3 linked regions of the Drosophila melanogaster genome follow. The protein of the gene in region 3 interacts with the protein of the main gene of each other region in a biochemical or structural test. Each region holds a gene or a part of one and is shown on either strand. Other genes may lie near its edges.

Evidence for each region.
Region 1: of the proteins of rl (region 3) and aop, one has a biochemical effect on the other in vitro, tested with the Drosophila melanogaster proteins (one study listed by BioGRID).
Region 2: the proteins of rl (region 3) and cic form a complex in vitro, tested with the Drosophila melanogaster proteins (2 studies listed by BioGRID).

The regions. Positions count from the first base shown.
Region 1 is NT_033779.5:2,176,635-2,180,391, forward strand, and holds the start of aop (anterior open), read right to left. Parts: upstream 2,121-3,757; 5' UTR 1,213-2,120; intron 1-1,212. UniProt on the Drosophila melanogaster protein: Ets-related protein that functions as a negative regulator of photoreceptor development acting antagonistically to pnt and the proneural signal mediated by RAS. It acts upstream of SINA to inhibit R7 development.
Region 2 is NT_033777.3:20,251,186-20,254,942, reverse strand, and holds the start of cic (capicua), read right to left. Parts: upstream 2,174-3,757; 5' UTR 1,090-2,173; intron 1-1,089. UniProt on the Drosophila melanogaster protein: Transcriptional repressor required for the specification of numerous cell types during embryonic development. Required for terminal patterning of early embryos.
Region 3 is NT_033778.4:1,070,239-1,073,995, reverse strand, and holds the start of rl (rolled), read right to left. Parts: upstream 2,022-3,757; 5' UTR 1,951-2,021; exon of another isoform or gene 1,746-1,950; 5' UTR 1,715-1,745; coding exon 1,557-1,714; intron 1-1,556. UniProt on the Drosophila melanogaster protein: Serine/threonine kinase which acts as an essential component of the MAP kinase signal transduction pathway to regulate proliferation, differentiation and effect cell fate decisions in various tissues.

The sequences.
Region 1 (3,757 bases), on a different chromosome or scaffold from region 3:
ATTGGAGCTCAACGCTCCGCTTTTGTTTCACTTCACTTCCATAGAAAAGTGCATGCAACAAGAGACTCGTGAACCGAACAGAAAGAACGATTCCGAAAGCCCGGTTCTATAGCATATAGCATATAGCGCAAAGCACACCGATATGCACTCCGATAATTACCGTTTTCATCATTTTTGTGGCGGAAAACTCGGACCTGGCCAATATGATGCAACGGGCATTACGAAAAGCACCCAGGTACCGTAATGTGGAGTGGAATGTGAAAATAGAAGAGGCTATTTTCCAAGTGAATCGATCTTGTTCGTATTGTAGAATGCTAGGGAATCGGTGAAGCGTACCGTGCATACAATGAGAGTCAAGACACTGGGCTTGGGAAGAGAAATTACTATCATATCATATTGTTACTAGACTGAGCTATGAGTATTTGCATATGGTTCTCAACCAACCACAGGTAATAATTAATCACAATCCAACTAGACTGTAAGAAATATCTAATCATATTTGGAAACAAGAAGAACATACAACAAATTATGCGCAACAATCAGATAACAAAACAATAATTAAACTATAAAACCACTCCCAAGATCCCCATAAAATTGTAACTCTTATTATTTAAACAAGCCCCAAATGAAAACGCCACAATCAGATCCTCTGAACAGGCAAATAAATCAACTAAACCTTAGATAAACCGTTGTTGCCGAGTCTTCATCCATCTCATATGAGTGTACTGCGAACCAAATATAGCCCAAGTTATCTGTTTACACGTGTAGATCCGACAAATTGTTGACCTCAACCAGAGACCAAAACTCAGACATTGTAAGACGTCGGGTGGAGCGAAGTGGGGAAGTCATATGCAGCAGATAACCAAAGCCAGATTAAGGTGGAGCAATTATTTATCAGCTGCTCAGACAAGACACTTTTCTGTTTCCATGACCATTGTGACGTAGTTATGGGAAATACATGTACCAAAAGATGGTGTTTTAACCAATTCGTAAAAAAAAGCAACGACGGCAATGGAGTGATACAGGGGTAATGTCTGTAAACACCGATTCTTGCACGATTACGAATATAAAAGAACTCCAGATATAAAAACCATTGTGCTTACATATTGAGAAAAAATGTTTTTATTTTTGACACTCTTTTCTGCTACTATTTTGACAATGGTTAATTTAACAGTTCACAACAAAAAGTATACAAATTATCAAAATTCTCACCTGTTTGCTCCACTGTGCACTGTGGTTACGTACTGTAAGGTGAGTGAGTGAATTTGTCTGTTTGCGTTGGGCTTCGGATTCGATTCTTGAGCTTTTTAGCGACAGAAGCAACGCGGAAGCGGATATGTCCAGATCCCAGAATGCTTTAGCTTTTGCTTCGCTTTCTTGTTTTATTTTTGTTTTTGGTTTTGTTTCTGTTAATTCGATGTTGTTCTTGTTGTTATCTGCTGATGACGAAGAGGGCGTCGCGCCAAGTTGCCATTGTTGTTTGTGTTGCTGTTTCCTTTTGGTGAGGGGCGCCGCGTGGGCGGTGGTTGTGTGCTTTTGGGGCTAATCCAGGCTCTCTGTTTTTGTTTTTGTTTTCGCTTCGTTCTGCGACAAATGCCAGCCGTAAAGCGGAGCAAATGAATAAGAAGAAGGCGAAGTCAAGCGTTTTTACTTCCGCCGCCGCCTCAGCAGCACGCACACACAGGCAGACGCGGGCACACAAACGCACACGCACACTGTAAGACACTCACGCGATGCACTTGCACTCTGGCGTTTTGTTCGTGTATTTGTTGTTGTACTTTGGCATTTCCTCTTTCGTCTTCCTTTTCACTTTTGCTTGCACTTCTTGTTGCGTTGCTTTGCTCTCGCTGATGTTGCTGTTGTTGTTGGCGTTGTTGCTGTCGCTCTTGTTTATTTTTTATTTCCGTTTCGCGCACACACACACCGGGCAATGTAAACACACACCGAGTTAAGAAGAACCGTTTATTTCCTCAACGCCGCGCACGAATTAAATTCTATTAATTGTGAATTAATCAATTTAAAACATATTAGTTTGCCATTTACAGCAGAATGTCTAGTTGCTTTCAGGAGCGACTCTTCTACACGTCCGCCCAGCACGGCAGTTTCTTTTTGACTGCCGATTCGATTCGAACAGGCGGCGAACATGAACAAGTCGGCGCATGCGGAGAGAGAATCGAAAGAGAAAGAGAAGCAAAGAGAGCGACATACAGCAAAAACAATTCAAAAAGAACTGGTGAAGAATACGAAAATAAGATAATTTTTTAAGGAAGTCGCGCTTTGATCCGTATCCGTTTTAGCGTCCAAGATTTATATCTTAAATCGGACCTATATTTTGAGGTACAGTGAAGCTTTGATGCGCCAGTCTTATATGAGTTAAAGTTTTAACGATTGAAAGACACCCCTGAGCTGCTCATTATATTTCAATATTTATAAACAATCTTATATCAGAGCTTGAGAGACTTGCATGCGCCACAAAATTCCAATTCCAATTCCGGAATAATTTCACAATAATCTCAATTAACATACGTATTTTATGTTCGTAATTTTTTAAAATTCCCAGATTCCCCACAATTGCCATAATAATCTCGATTATGTTATTATACTCTGAGAAGTAGGAGTGTGTGCAAAGACCACAAACAAATCATTAGGCGCGTAAACATTTACAGATCCACCATCCACTTCCTTGGCAACGAAAGAAGCAACAGCTCGCAGAGGTAATAATTTAAATAATTTAAAACCCACCAAAGTTTACTACGAAACAACTCAATAGGCAACCGCTGTCTGTGGGCGGCGTCGAATTCGCGTGGGGCGCTCGATTTAGTTGTTAATCAATAGAAGATAAAGTTTAAACAAACGATTCATGCTGATACCAGAAGCATGGGCGCCGAAATACCAAGGGATCGTTCTCTCACTAGATAACATACACACCTATTGTGACTGGAAACTTGAAATGATCGAGCATGCCATACCCATTAGCTGTCAATTGTGACTATTGGCGAGCTTTTTGCACATAAACCATAGATAAGACAATTCCGTGAACTCTAATCAGTGTGCGATAATGCTCTCAAGCATTTGAAATAATTATGAATACGACCCCCTGGCCGAAAATGAAATAAGCGCCACGCGCCTGGGAAAAGCGCTCTATTGTAATACAAAATGTTTGGAGGTGCTAGCTGATAGGTGTTTTCGATCCCATAAATCTTGGATCTTCATGGAAACCAGTTGGCAATCTTTAATTATAAATTGTTGGAACATTTCCGCTCGGCTGCGACGGAAAATCTCTTTGGAAAGGGGGCGGGGCTGGGGTTCCTCGTCAGGTTGCTTGGACGGTCGGTTGGTCGGTCGGTCGGTGGGCCTGAAGATGCGCTCAGTTGCACTGCATCCGCTTTGGGGTCTCCAGTCGCCTCAGTTGGCTAACCAGTTTCTCCCCGAGCAACGAGCAACGTTTACGTTGACATTTCAAGTCAAATGCCCATAAACGGCGACCAGCCGGACGACCCCGCCCACGCCCTGCACGCCCCTGCTCAGTTCCGTGGGTATGCACTGAAAGAAAATCTAGATTAATGGGCATTTAGGTAAGTAATAAATAGTAACATGTATTTTTATGGCTATAAATAGTTTAGCGAGTAAGCCTCGTGATATGAAACATTAAAGAACTTTTAGATTGTGACTCTAATTAAGAAATATAATAGAGATATTTTTTTCAAGTGCTATCTTTTCCGTCGATAGCTGCGATGGCGATGACGACGTTTCCAAG
Region 2 (3,757 bases), on a different chromosome or scaffold from region 3:
GTGCGTCTAGTAATTTGCTGATAATTATCAACAAATGGGCGCTCACGCACATTCAAATGTAAATTAGGCAGTAGAGAGGGTGGGAGAGAGCGACTAGAGAAAGAGAGGGAGCATTTGGTCCGGGCAGACGCAACAATAGCAATAACAAAAGCAACGCATCGCTCAAATCTCATGCGATGCAGTTGCCAGCGAGAGTTTTGTTGCTAATTACATACACACATCGATGGCCAGCCAGTCAGAGTGCAAGTGCGTCTGTGTGTGTGTTTGATGAAGGGGAGTGGGGGCGGTTAACTTCAGTTGGCAACTGTGGGACCAATGTACAGCAAAAGAGGCTGGTACAGTGTTCAAATTAAATTGATTTGATTGACGACAGTTTTTCTATCAATAAAAAAATTTAAAAAAAACATCTTAATACAGCAATATTGTTTCCCGTGCACCATGATTTTATTAACTCATTTGTGGTCCACTAATTTTCATATACTAATCATGATTTCCCTAATAAAATCCACCAAAACCAGTAACTTTAATGGTTAGCTAATTTCAGTAGCTGATTTTCACCCCATTGTTTTTGTTTACAAAAAGGCAGAGCTTAATTTGAATTTCAACATTTCACATTTAACATATCAATGATAAAGAATGCATACATACACACGCACATATTAATTCTAGGAGCTATTGTTACGACTTTTTTGTATTTTATGAACAATATGATGTGCAAATGTTTAAATGTTGAGGCTTAGGGTTTATTTAACAAATGAATAGAATTTCTTGAATACAAATTTTGTGGCCTGACCAGCTACAACAAATACACACGGTCACACTGAGACCCACCGCTCTCTTGCCAACTCTCTAATTCCCAGAGAGCGGGGGTGTGCTGGTATGTGTATGTGTGCAAGTTGTGGAAATGAATGAAGCTCTGCTTGCCAACAACGTAAAAGCAAGTGTAAGAGCAAGCCCGGAAGAGGGGGAACAAGAGAGAGAGAGAGAGAGACTGGGGAAGTGAGATGGCGAGAACGGAAGCGGGAAGGGAAATACAAAATTTTCCAATTGGCAAGCACATACAACATGGGGTAAAAGAATTTCGCTTACCGTTTTTCGCTTATTGACGTAGGCGTCCGTTTCTCTCTGTACGTATATGTTTACGTGTATGGGTGTTTATTGCTGTTTTTCTCTTTTATTTTATTTGCTCGGCTTGTTTTTGTTATGCAAAAGGCATAGACTTTTTCGGGTTTTACACGTTAAAAACACAAACACTTTAAAAATTATTTAACTGCTCGCTAAGCCGTTGGTTCTCGCTCTCCCGCGCTGCAAATGCACTGCAAACAAAATGTTGGATTATGGCTGGCTGGGCTTTACAACTTTTCCACGAGCAAAACAACGCACGACTGTGGAAAACGCGAACCGACGAACCGAAAACCGTGAAAAGTGTTCATTCATTGAGGAAAATTGAAATGAGCGCCTAGCATGTGACTCTCTCGCGATTGCTCTCTATGTCTCTCTATCTCTCTTGCCCACACTCGATTTGGGGGCCAGTGTTGCCAACTCAGAGCATAGAGCAGAGCCCAATGCCAATAAGCCGAATCGGGGAAAAGGAGTAAGCAAAGCAAAAAGCCCTGCCTCAGATACTCCAATTCTGATTCGAACTTATTAATTATTTAATTGGGATTCTCGGGCAGCAGTATTGTGGGCTGGCAACACTGCTCCTCTGCACAGACAGCGCGTCGACGTCAGCGTGTTAGTGTTTGTGTGCGTGCTGCGCTCGCTCTCTTTTCCTCATTCACACTCGCACCCTCTCTGTCGCACGCGCATTTTCGATTGATTGTTGTTGTTATTATTATCTTTATACGAGCTTAATCCAATATTTAGCCAGTATCTATGCAGCCCAGTTTGTTTTCCCAGCTCTCTGTTTCACTTGTTTTCACACCTACACTTGTGCGTGCGCTCGCGTTTGTGTGCGTAAGTGCCTTGTATTTGCAAACGAATTTAATTTGCGACACCTAAAAATCGAACAAATGTCGCCACAAACCGTTTTATTCACACAAAAGCCTGCAGGCGCTGCCCGATTTGGCTATTATTGGGGTTTTGTGCGCGGGGCACAAGAGCAATTCACAGGAGCTCCACCTTCCGACATCCGCGACACGTCCGTGCGATTCCGAGCATGAAGTGAGAATCTGCTGGAGACCATTTGCCCCATTTGAGAAAATACCCCCAAAGTGGGACCGTTGGCCGGATTGGGCAAAATCTTACAAGTTGCGTGGCAAAGGCGAATGATACGGTTACACTGGCGCCGCGAGCGGGTGCAACCAAATGTTGTAACTTTTCGGTGATAGAGCGATATATAAATAAATAAAAATTGTAATTGCTTCTTAACATTTACTTTTAGCATGGTTTGCGAATTTATACAAAGATTGTATGAACTGGCTTGTGTACAATCTATCGTTAAGTTAGTCAGTACACGAACCTCTACAGTTCTACACTTCAGTCTGGCAATGCCCAACGTTCTTAAAAATTATGAAATTGTGGTAGCACTGAAAAATATCTGCCACATTTATATTCATTTCTTGTAGAGTAAAGGGGTGTAATATTGCTATTATTGTTTTTAGGTTTTATTGTTTAAGTTAAGTTACTTATATAATATAGTACTGTGTGCAGGAACTTCGGCTGTGTAGGTTGTTTATGATAATCTTCTTTGAATGCATTATTTACATGTAGTAACTTAGTCCAATGTTGTTCAGTTGTTTGGATTATAATAAAAACTAGCATAGTATTATTTACAATTTATGTTACTTTCTTTTTTATTAATATTTCGATTTTATGGAATAGGACAGTTCCTAGGAAATGTGGCATTTATAAAAAGATCAAGGCATCTGTCGGTCTTAAAGATGGTCTGTTTGGTTTAAATGTTACATATGAGATTAGTTCTTAAGATTTGGAGAGATGTCCTTGATTTGATAAAAGGCGTGGAAGAAAGTGTTTTCGAAACTGTAAGGTATATATATTCCGTCTGTCTTGATTTTCCTTCCGTCGAGATTTAGGAAACTTTAAAATCAAAGCCAAGTAAATGTAGATGATTTATATAATCTTAAATAGGTAAGGTAACACTTAAAAACAAACGTGTATCAACAAAAGTTTTTACGAATACGTAATATGCATAATATGCATAGGCATATGCATCCCAGAAAATTTCACAACTATTAAAACATTTAATAAACCAAAATACATTGTTGAAGGCTGTTCAAAATAATCCCCAGAGTAAATAAAAGCTAATGATTGGCAAGCCAAATTTTAAGTGTGACAATAGTCATTTAATTTAAGTACCGCTCCATTTGAGCTTGAGCTTAAAAACTTCTCATTAAACTCAACTTTCTTGAGTGGATAATTTATGAATGCACTATCCTCAAATGAGACCGCTCATATGGAAGGAGCCGTAAAAAGTGCAAACATTCATCAAATTCGCGCCGGAACTTTGGAAATATGAAAACCGCGCTATGTGATCCGTGCACCTGGTGCCGTCTAGCGACATAAATTACGCATACGTCGTGTTAACCGTGGGAAAACATATAAATGTGTTTGCACCCACGCGACAGCGGCAAAAAACAAATTGTTGTACCTTCTGTTGCTGCTGCTATTATTGCCATAACTTTGGACTTTTATTAGCAGAAAACTCTCGGAGCGAATTTTGGCTCCATCAACGAAGAGGCAGCATTTCCAGTTTAATGAGCTGAAAAGTGCAAGTTGAGATACGCAGGTCCCGAAG
Region 3 (3,757 bases):
GCCTTATTGACAATAGTCGAAATATGATCTGAAAAACTTTAGTTTAAGGTCCAGAAGAACACTAAAATCAGCAACCAATGTTATATCAAAGACACTAGAATAACAAGATGCGTAACGGCCATACATTGGTTTGCAACTATGCAGCCACACATATGGCTCGATATCCAATTAAATAATAAGCTATAGCGTAACAAGCAACGCCAGCAAAATTAAATTTAGCCGCCGGGCTTCGAATTCCTGTCCGCCCTAAATTTCCTCACCAATACCAATACCAATCAACATCTCATAATATCTATCCACAATAAGAAACCCTCTCACCAACCACTTCCCAATTATTTAACTTATATGGATGCCCACTCACATCGGCATATCCGCCAACGAATACGCCGACAAAACAGCTAAAGATGCCCACAGATACGCCCTTGTACACTCCTCAAATTACAACTGTGACGACTTTTCTCAATTTTCCCTGGTATGAGCTCATCCTTCAAGCTACAACACTACATAACACAATAAGAAAACACAAATCCTAATAAAAAGGCTCAGGCTTGGACACACCAACCTTACCAATGCCCACTACATGAACTGACCCCTCCCCAAAATATGCTCTCTTCAGTCAATCAACCCCATTTGCTACCCACCTCAAAACTCCAACCTAATCAAAAAACATAAAACTATAATTTAAAATTAAAAGAAACTAAAAAAAAAAACAAAATGTCCGCTTTTTAAATATTTTATAAGAATATAACAAAATAATTCAACTAAATATTTTTTATTTTTAAATACTGAAAAATGAAATGTTGCCATGCCCACTCTCCGCCCAAAACTGCAACTGCAACTTTTAAAAAATGTGTTGATTTTTTATTTTTGAAAATGTAGGTTCCAAATTTACTTTTAATGAATGAATGAATAATCCCTAATTATGTCCAAAAGCATTAGAAAAAGGTATAAAGGCACCGAGTAAAAGAGTACTTTAACAAGCAAATCCAAGTTTAGCGAGAAATTGTATTGCGTTGAACAACCGATCGACCGGTAAACGAAAGTTTTGTGCGCAGCGTTTAAAAGCAAGCAATATGACTCAGAAGCTATTGACTTTCCTTTATTTATAAAGTCCATCGGCCAATTTAGGCTTTTGCATGAAAACAAACTCGGTTGTGTCGACCCTTAAAGATTGATTTTGTCAAAGAAAAAGCAAAACTAAGCCACGTTTAGAGAAAAAGAAAGAAATCAAAAATTTGAGAAACTATTTCGTTGTTAAGTGTTTCACAGCTTAGTACTGCGTATGATTGATGTGAATAAATTTAATGCATTTTCGAAAAATAACATTGATTCAGCAATACCATGTATGCGAACTTACAGCAAAGGACTTGAACAAAATGTATTACTTGATATAAAATCAAGAGAACACGGTTCTGAGTATTACTGCATTTCGGAAGGAGAACCGCAAGATAAAAAAAAAACTATGAATAATGGACAAAGGAACAACAAGAAAGAGGTGTGCAAACACTGTAGATTAAAAACGGCTTCAAAAATAAAAATAGGTATTAGGTACTTACACAACCATGCCATAAGCTCCTTCACCTATATAGGCGAGTTTAATATACCTAGGACCAACTTCAAATATTTGTCCCCTTATAACTTCAGCATTAGATTGAGGAACTTCCGTAGATCCTGTACCATTAACTACTGATCCGCTCGAATTAAATTCCTCCATGACTAACGTTTCTTCTGGAAAACTTGAAATACTACTAAAGATGTTATGATACAAAATACACCGTATCTGCAAAATTCGCAATGTATGTATGCGTGGATTGTAATAACACTTTTACAACTGAATATGTCCCACTTTATCTTATTTAAGTGAACAGCAATAAGTGCAAAATCTTTATTTACTTTATTATGAATTTAACCAAAAGTCTATAACTTAAGATATGAATATATAAACTCAACTTTTTTTTACTCTTTAGACAAATGCGTAAATATGATTTATCAAAATCGACGGCGTAAAACATTAATAATATGTTAAGATAACGACACTGGTCAATGTTTATCCGATCCAATTATAATCGGATCCCAAAAGGTACATCAGTCTTTTGGCAGCCACAATTTCCACAATTAATATTAAATAATATAATAATTTAAAAATGATCAGTCATTGCGTAAGACATTTTTTTATTTAAAAATTGGTATTAAAGGAGGAAATTGATCATCACATATTAACCTGATGTTGGGTTAAATATATTTTTGGACATTTTTCAATGGGAGCGCAGAAATAAAAACCTTTTGACTTAGTGTTATATTCCTAATTTAAGCTATTATTGCCCATTAAAATAAAACAAGAAAGCAGGCATGTGCCATCTTCTGCTGTGTGACCTAACAGATGTAAATTCAGCGTAAACGGAACTAAAAGTACTGTTCCCACCATTAAGACGTGACTACAAACCAATGTAGAATATACATATTAACACGAAAGCAGAAATTAAATGTTTAATTAAGAGAAAACAAATCCTTTAATTGCTTTTTTATTATATTATAATAAAATTTCTTAACAGCTCACTACTCAGAAGCATATACAAATGTACAGCTAACTAAATGTAGTTTGCCCACTACAGAAAATTCAGCAGTGTTGCAACGGAGGATGATTGATGATCGAACATTCTTTTTAAACAAAATACTATCAGATGTCAAAAACTTTATATTTTTACATTAAAAAATCCGAATGTACTTAAATATATTTGTTACTCTTAAGGTGATATCCGAAGTAAATGCTACGTACGCCAAGTATATAAGTTTACAGAAATCGTGAAAAATATGTCTATGACAGCTATTTATTTTATGAATTAATGAAATACCATGGTTTTAGGTATAAGTGTAGGTTTAATTTTTTTAATTAATGTAGGTTTATTTTATAACATGACCTTTTCCTTATTAACAATTTATTTCATTCTTAGAATACATTTCAGTTTAACTCGCATGACGGAGCGGGTACAAGTGTAGCACCGCAAAGAGCGACTGCAAAGCTAGCACATTGTTTAAAATGCCCAACTCAGTTGATGTCTAGTTTTAGTATATAGTTTAGTTTAGTTTGTGTATGGAGTTTTGGGATTTTGTTTAACAGCCGTCAGACTGCAAAACTTGTGTTTGGTCGGCGCTGCCGCAGTCCAGACGTCAGTCGTTGCCGTTGTTGGCGCAATAAGTTGCGCAGGAACCAGTGATTTTGATATAATTCATTTGTATTATCTATTAAAGAAGAAGTGGGTCCAACGTGAATGGACTTAGAGAGCACAGAAAGAACTTATTAAGACTCATAAATAAATTCAAATATATCTTTACTTTAAAAATTTCAACTTTAATTTCCTTTATCATTTTTCTTTTGTTCAATTTTAATTGTCAGGGAAAACAATGCTTAAGAACTTTGGTTTACCCTTGGACACAATTATTTTCAAAAATGAAGACATTCTTAAATTAAGTAATGGTGAGGTAAAATTATATGGAGGAACACAGTAAGCGTCCAACTTCGGTTGATCATCTGTCCCTGTCGAATTTCTTAACTTAACTTTGTAAATTACAGTTTGTGTTTGTTAGTTTCAAACGCTTTGGAATATAGAGATGCAAACTTTTAAGAAAACTCTAACCCCGGTTCACTAATTTCGTTCTGGAAAAGTGTTTTATGGACAGATGTAAGTTCTTTCGAGAATAACTCGTTAAAAAAAGCTGCAGCTTCACTTAAACTTATTTATTTAGGTATTAAAGGCTT